Linked DNA regions of Coturnix japonica. The protein of the gene in region 2 interacts with the protein of the main gene of each other region in a biochemical or structural test. Links are inferred from orthologs where the notes say so. Each region holds a gene or a part of one and is shown on either strand. Other genes may lie near its edges.

Region 1 (3,821 bases), about 32 Mb from region 2:
GTGTCAGTGAGAGTGTGGACGTTGCCAACATAGAAACATTCAAGGACTACAGAAAATGGATCAAAATACAACTGGAACGTATGCAGTCCCACTGCATTCCCAAGCTACCACTGCTTTTTGGGTGGGTTGTTGGACAAAGCTTGAAGACTCGCTACATAAACAAAGTACTTCTCAGAGCAGCAGCCTTGTTTCTGACACAATGGGACCTGAGCTGACTTTTATGGAAACAAAGATTCATAGAACCACAGAACTACAGAATATGCTGTGTTGGAAGGCACCCACAAGGATCACTGAGCCCAGGTTTGCCCTTGGTTATCTCCAAACAGCCAGAGTGGGATTTTCCTTCCCATTTCATGGTGACCATACCATGCCTCAAATTGTTTTTTGAGCTGAAAATGCCACGTCCCTGGGTGTCCCGGTGAACAGCAGTGTGACCTGGTGGCCAAGAAGGCCGATGGGATCCTGGGGTGCATTAAAAAGAGCGTGGCCAGCAGGGGAAGGGGGTGATCCTCCTCCTCTTCTCTGCCCCGATCTGGCCTCACTTCGTGCACTGTATCCACTTCTGGGCTCCCTGGTACAAAACAGACAGGGATCTCCTGCAGAGAGTCCAGCCACCAAGATGATAAAGGGCCTGGAGCATCTCCCCTGTGATGCTTCTTTCTGCACTGCTGCTGGGGAAGCCACTCCTGCTGCTCAAGCAGGAACTCCATGAATGCAAAACAGGTCAGGATAGCCGACGAAAGAACACTGCATCAGTCTGTTTCGTGTCCATGGACACAGGTGGGACTTCAGAGCTAGCTGGACTCAAAGAATTTGCATGAAATCATGTAACTGAGAAATATCTCAGAAGAGCAATGAAGCCAAAACTTGGTAAGGAACATACTCCCAAGAGAAAATGAACAAACTCTGTTTGCTGGTGTATGGGGGGGGTTGCTGAAGTGCTCTCCATCCAAGTGTTAATCCCTTATCATCAGACCAGGAAGACTGGAGACAATACAGAGCATTTCTCTGTGCTTTTTCAATGTTAGCCTTAGACAGTTGTTGACTGAGATAGAAGCAGGTTAGCATAGCTTCAGGACCGCATGTGAGCACAGTGTTGCCTAGCCATGCCAGGAAAGAACTCACAAGCATGGGAAGAAGATGAGAAATGAGATTTTCCTGCGCTGACACAAAGGAATTCAAGGCCGCTCAAACAATTCCATTTAACACGTGGACACTATTAAACCACATTTCCCTGTTTGTATTCATGCTGACAGTGACAGCGGCCAGTGTGATTCAGAGCCAAGTTCAGCAGTAATGAGTAGGTGAAATAAAGACCTTGGGAGCCATGATTTGGGTCCACTTCTCTAGGAACATGGCTGCCAGACATGGCCTCCAGGTCACCGCCACCACCCAACGCAGCTGCAGCCTCAGCCTTCTCCGAGTGGAGGCATTTCCCATTGAGTGTGATCCAGCAAGTACAGCTCTTTCCCAGCAAGAATTGCAAATCACGGACGGGAGAATGGGAAAGTGCAGGAAAGAAGCAAAGGCCAATAGCACAACCTGCCTGCTCCTGGGAAACGCTGATGGTAGTGGCACTTTCACCACCGGAGCAACCCCACAGCTGCTCCAAAACCCAAAACATGGCGTTTAAACGCGCACAGAATGCATTTTGAATAGACAATACAACTCACCCTCGCTTCTACAAGCAAATGAGGATTCAGTGACCACATTTGCTGCAAAAGCCCCTTCCCGAGACCGTACAGATCTTTACCTGTTAATGGAACTGACGCTGGGCACGGTGTCATTATCACACACCCGCTCGGCGAGGAGTCTATCCCTGATCTCCCAGGCAAACATGGTGGGATTTTGGCGTTTGTACTCTGCGATTTTTTCGACAACTTTGGGTGTGGCGACCTTTGGTTTTGATCCTCCAATCACTCCAGGCTTAATGCTCCCGGTTTCATAATACCTGGGACAACATCCAAAGCAAATCTTCAGTTATCACAGGCAGGCAGAGGGCATGCTTCGAGATTCATAGAGAACATAATTTCAAGGTAACCAAACCCCAGCAAATCCTAAGATACATCTTCACTTTCACATACACACTTTCTGCCCATGTAGCGCTTTATCACCTAATAGATTAACTTATAGTAATTGGAACTGGGCCGTAGGATAGAACAGATATTTTTTCATAAGAGAAAGACAAAAGAAACAATGCAAGATTAAAGGGCATGCTGGCGTCCAAAATTAACTGAAAATGTGTGTAATTAATCAGAGGTTCTGGCAATAATAGAAACAAATCTCACTCAAGACCACTTTTTGCAGCAAATTCTCATATCTAAGGAAATGCTCTGCCATCAACACCTACAACTTGTTAGCATTTCATCGCAACGCAAGGGCGTGAAGTCATCTTTCATTTGCACATTAACAATTAATACGCTGGCATATCTTTTTCCCCGTTTTATTGTTTTAGAACGCATGCTACTGCTTTAATAGTTAATGTTTTTCATAATGGATATATTTTTAATATGATGCTTTCAATTGTGCAAATGAGAAATGTTAAGGGAAGGGGAGCTGTTGGTGTTCCCAGAGGGCTCGGCTTGTTTGGGGGTTTGTTTTTCTGACCAGCTCTGCAATCCTTCCTCACAGACACAATCTCTACTTGTGCAAGCAGTTCTGCCAATGTCATACAAGCAGAGCAGGTAGGATGGAGCGTAAGGATGGAGTCCTTACACTGACCAAAACGTGCCAGATGTATTTTTTTTTTATTAATATTTTTTTGCATGTAAATCACGCAGGCACAACTGCTTTTAGTAGGATTGCAGCAAAGCGTGGCGGTTGAGATCCTCAGCCCCACACATCTCACTCTTTCAATAGGGAAAGCCTTGAAAATGCTGTTAAAAATATCATGTCTCATCCACTGAGGAGCAGGAGGGAGACGATGAGCGAAATCACGCTGAGAACCCGTAGAGCACCGACACGCACCACGTTCTCGGGGCCGTGCACTTTTTGGCGTCCTGTGAATTTTGTTGATGAAGCACAAATCTGCAGCCACTGCAGCCATTGTCCAAACCTCCCCTTCCAAACAGGCCACGCTCAGCTCAGCTCTCATCCCGCGACCACAGAGCTGTGCTCCCTTACGGCCTTGACTCACCCACTGATCGCTGTGTGCCTGTACTTCTCGTAAGGGGAGCTCAAAAAAGACTCTCAGATAAGAACAACAGTTGTTTTGTTGTTTTCCTTTTAATCTGTGCGTTTTCTCTGCAGTTACTTGACATAACCATTATATCCAAAATAATGATGATAACAATAATAAATTCTGAAGTATTTCCAGCATGGCAGCCAAAGTCTGTCTGACTGTAACATGCAGCAGCGCTCATCAGATTTCTGCCAGGCTGCTGGCTCTGTCTTTCAGGGAGAGCTCTGTGTGCACAGTGCTGGCACTGCAGCGTTTGTGCATGTTTTCAGGCTTCCTGGGTGCAGATGCAGACTCGGTCTCAGCAGCCATTCAGGCAGCTTTAAGTGTCAAAGACACATAACCCTTGGGGCATTCCTAAACCCAGCCCAGCAAAAAGCATCAGTGCATCAGGAGTACAATGAAGCTGCCCTCCCTTATAGTTTCCAGAGGACCATGTAACGATGGTACACTTCAACAACAAACCTCCCTAAGCCTTGCATCCCTGGTTTCATCTCCTGTCCTGGAGGCACCTCTGTGCTAAGAAAGGACATGGAGAAAAGCTGCACAGTGCACACTGGTGGAGCAGAACGCTGTCATTTTCTCATTTCCAGCCATCACTGCAGATGTGACAAACACGTTTAGGTGTTTTCCTGCCACACTA
Region 2 (3,821 bases):
GCTACACTGTTAACACTATGCAAAAATACGTCATAGTCTGCTACAGTTTTAAAAACATGATAATCCAATTACTATAGTAATCAAGATAAATTAGTTCATGTAAACAAAGCTCAATTAAAACCACAATAGCAAAGCACTGAATCAAGCTATAAAATTTAATGTCCTAGCTTATCTGACAGCATTTAAAAGTATTTTTGTAAAATATTTTTTGTAACAAGGATCAACAGGAATGGGAGCAGATTGCACTCAGAAACAATTTAATCTGGCAATGCTTTTATAAAAAGGATTCTCCACCGCTTTCATGGGAGAAGTACTAATCGGTCAAACAGAAATAATCCAGAAAGATGCTTAGCTGGCACACATTAAAAAAAAAAAAAAAAAAAAAAAAAAGAGCGTAAGTCTAAATGAAAGATTATTTGTAGTGTTTTTGAATACATTTTTTTCTCCATTATTATTATTAACATTTTATAGAAAAGGTTTGTTTTAGAAAACCATGACAAATTTTTTCTGAACATGCTGAAGCTGCGAAGATTGCACCTGTGATGTGAAGTCATGTTGCTGTAGCTGTCTCCCTTCTCTGAGGTCCCAGGATCTGACCGTATTGTCCAAGCCTCCTGTCCAAAGCTTGGTGCCATCATTAGAAATGTCAATGCAGCTGGCTCCGTCTGTGTGACCCTGAAATTGTCTGAAAATATCAAAGGAAGATTCACACATTCTCATACCAGAAATAACCAGTTCTGATTATTTACTCAAAACAACTAATTTCTCTGAAACTATCGTTAAAGGTAAAGTGCCATGGAAATCTAAGATTAATCTCAGCCCTGGGACGACCATCTGAGTTTTGTGATGAACTGATGGCGCAATTAATCATGCCATACAGCCAAGTGTTAATTTGATTTTGTGAAGCATTCTTCATGAATTAAATATTCTGAGGACACTTGCTGCTGACTATTTAACACCCACATTTTGACGGGATATGCCACATGCTCCTGAAAGAATGCTGCATGACTGCATTAAGAAGAATATGAAGGACAATGATGCTGTTTTGTTTTTTTAAAGCAGTCCCAATGGGCGCATTAGAGGGTAACAGGCAGGCCTTTGTGTGCAATATTTAAACAGTACATTTCAGAACAACACGTACGCAGTGCAGAGTATGAAGAATGTCTGTACAAGTGGCTCCTAACTACCTTATTGTTCATTAGCAGTGAACATCAACCCCAACTCCTACGAAGTTGAGGCGTGCAATGCAGAGATTTACACATATTTGTATCTGAAACATATTTGCAGATGTATTTGCTACAACACTAATTAAAGAGATTGGAGTGTGAACACAGAATACTTCTGTTCCAAGAACCTACAGCAATTTCAGCACCAAGTTATCTCAAGCTATTAACAGTTATGGAGCAGTTTGGCAGGCTTGGAATTATGAAACTCTCAAAACCCACAAACAATTAAATAGACTTCAGTCAAAGTATTACCATAGTTATTGCCTAGTAATGAAATAGCGAGAGCAGCTATGCTGACACCATGAAGAAAAGAGTGCATGTATGCACAAGAGCATGTAAGGCTATGTCTAATTAATTCTTCACAACCCGGTGATCTGGTTCTGTCGACCTACCTTACCAAAGTCTGGTTATGCAGATCCCACACTGCAATATTCCCATCACTACAGCAGGAAAAGCAGACCTTGGAATCAGGGCTGATAGCCAGGGCATAGCAAGCTGGAGCAGAAGATGTCAGCTCTGCTTTAATGCGTGGAGTTGGAGCTGCCAGGTCCCAAATGGATAACGTGCTGGCTTCTCCACCAACAATCAGGGTGCGGCCGTCAGGGAGCAATCTGCAGGAACGGATGTAGTTATCTCTGTTCTGTGGAGACAGAAGCCATCTAGAAATTACTCATGAGGAAAGGAAAACAGCATTAACATGAGAGCAGAAATCCATAAAAGTATTGTATTCCCTCCTGGTTTTAATGAGCCATTTATAGTTATGACAATGATAAAGTATATTAATGCCAGAAAATTACATGACATTAGGGAAGTACTTAAACTTGATCTACAAAATTCAGTAGTGAGAGATATTTAATCTTAATTAGCATCAAAATGTGAAGACTTGAACCCAATTCCAAACAATTCAAGACAGCTGTATTCAACAGCTTGTGTAGAAAGTTACATTTTCATATGCAGTTTATTTCATCACATTAACCTCTCGGCATGGGAGAGTACCAAATTCCCTGCACATCCCCCTGCTCTGCTCCAGTGAGACTTACTGCCACCATCTAGGAAATGTCAGAGAAAAATATTTGGGCAATTTTCTTCATTTGTGTAGCGATTTGTGTAGCAATTCATTATATGTCTACAAGTGCTGCACTGTTCTCATTTTACTACCTTTGTAACAAGATGCAACATCTTACCAAGAACTGGTAAATGACATGAGAAATACAGCTAACAATGGTTCATCTTGTTAGCACATTCAAATAATTTGTGAATAACACTCTGGGATATTTTTAATTGTCACATTAAGACAGGGCAAAGCATTCACACACATACACAGACGCAAAATACATGACTATCTTCAATATTCTCTGAGGATACAGCTGCAAGAAAGGAATTTTTAGCATGATGGGCTATCAAGCTTTAACACTGCCAACAAATGTCAAAGTTTATAAACAATATCTGCTGTACTGTCTTTGATCTTTTCCCCTACCAATACCATTTTAGGATATTAAAGATGTTTTGATTCACTTTGGGGAAAACAACACAAGTATTACAAGGAACACACTTCAAACTTTATTCTAAAAGAAACAACATTAAAAATAAAATATCAAGCTTTGATACCAATGATAGCACTCAAATAGCCACTGTTTTTTGTTTGTTTGTTATGTTTTTTTTTTACCTTAACAGTATAATTTCAATCTTGACACAACCTGCTGTCTTTTTCTTATCATCATAAGCTACCATTCACTTACCAGGCAGTCGAGCTGAGAGACAGGGCTCTTGTTGCCAGGGTGGCTGATATCCCAGACTTTGACGCACCCCTTGCCACCCGTGTACACATGTCTTGTGGGGTTGCTGATGGTAACTGCACACACAACTTCCCCATGGTTCAGAGTGTTGATCTGACGGGCATGGCGAGGGATTCCCGGACCAATGAGGGCATCGGGAGGGAAAGGAACAGGCTGCATTTGGCCATCTGCACTTACATGAAATGAGTATGCCCTAAGAAGAGAGAAACATAGAGGTAAAAGGACAAATACTGATGAAGTTTTTCTTCAAGCCTATTTTAGAAAACATAATTATGTATTTGTCTCCACTATGGGCATTCAAACTGCTCACTTAGCTCCTTTTAAAACCTTTTTTCTATAATGTAAAGAAGAAATTATTTGAAAACCTTAATATAGATGCTTAAAGCTTATATACTGGTACTCTTAATGTATGAGACAAGGACGATCTATCAATCAAATGAGCTGGTTTCTGGTGAGATACTTAACACAACAATGCATGGGGAGACCACCGCCTCTGCAGAGAAGGGAAGGAAGGTCAAGTCAGGGCCCATTGGAAGACAGAAATAGCTAGCCAGTTGCACTAGAGCCCTGGCAGTAGCTGAGTGCCAAAGGACATTTTGTTGCTCCCACACTAGCTCTAACGTGGACTTTAGCTGGATCACTGCCCAGTTGCCTCAGACACACCACAGGTCCCATGCAGTGTGTTACCAGAGCAGTGAAACCACCACCAGGTAGGGGTTAAGCCCCCAGGTACGCTTGCTGACATCTGACATGACAGACCAGTTAAAATGCTCTGAGATTTTCTTCCTTCTTTTGCGTT

The links.
Region 1: the proteins of TLE4 (region 2) and PAX5 form a complex in vitro, tested with the Homo sapiens proteins (2 studies listed by BioGRID). The link is inferred for Coturnix japonica from reciprocal best matches to the Homo sapiens genes TLE4 and PAX5.

Annotation. Positions count from the first base shown.
Region 1 is NC_029547.1:66,885,178-66,888,998, reverse strand, and holds part of PAX5 (paired box protein Pax-5), read right to left. Parts: intron 1,952-3,821; coding exon 1,754-1,951; intron 1-1,753. UniProt on the Homo sapiens protein: Transcription factor that plays an essential role in commitment of lymphoid progenitors to the B-lymphocyte lineage. Fulfills a dual role by repressing B-lineage inappropriate genes and simultaneously activating B-lineage-specific genes.
Region 2 is NC_029547.1:34,838,371-34,842,191, reverse strand, and holds part of TLE4 (transducin-like enhancer protein 4), read right to left. Parts: intron 3,216-3,821; coding exon 2,966-3,215; intron 1,867-2,965; coding exon 1,619-1,866; intron 686-1,618; coding exon 538-685; intron 1-537. UniProt on the Homo sapiens protein: Transcriptional corepressor that binds to a number of transcription factors. Inhibits the transcriptional activation mediated by PAX5, and by CTNNB1 and TCF family members in Wnt signaling.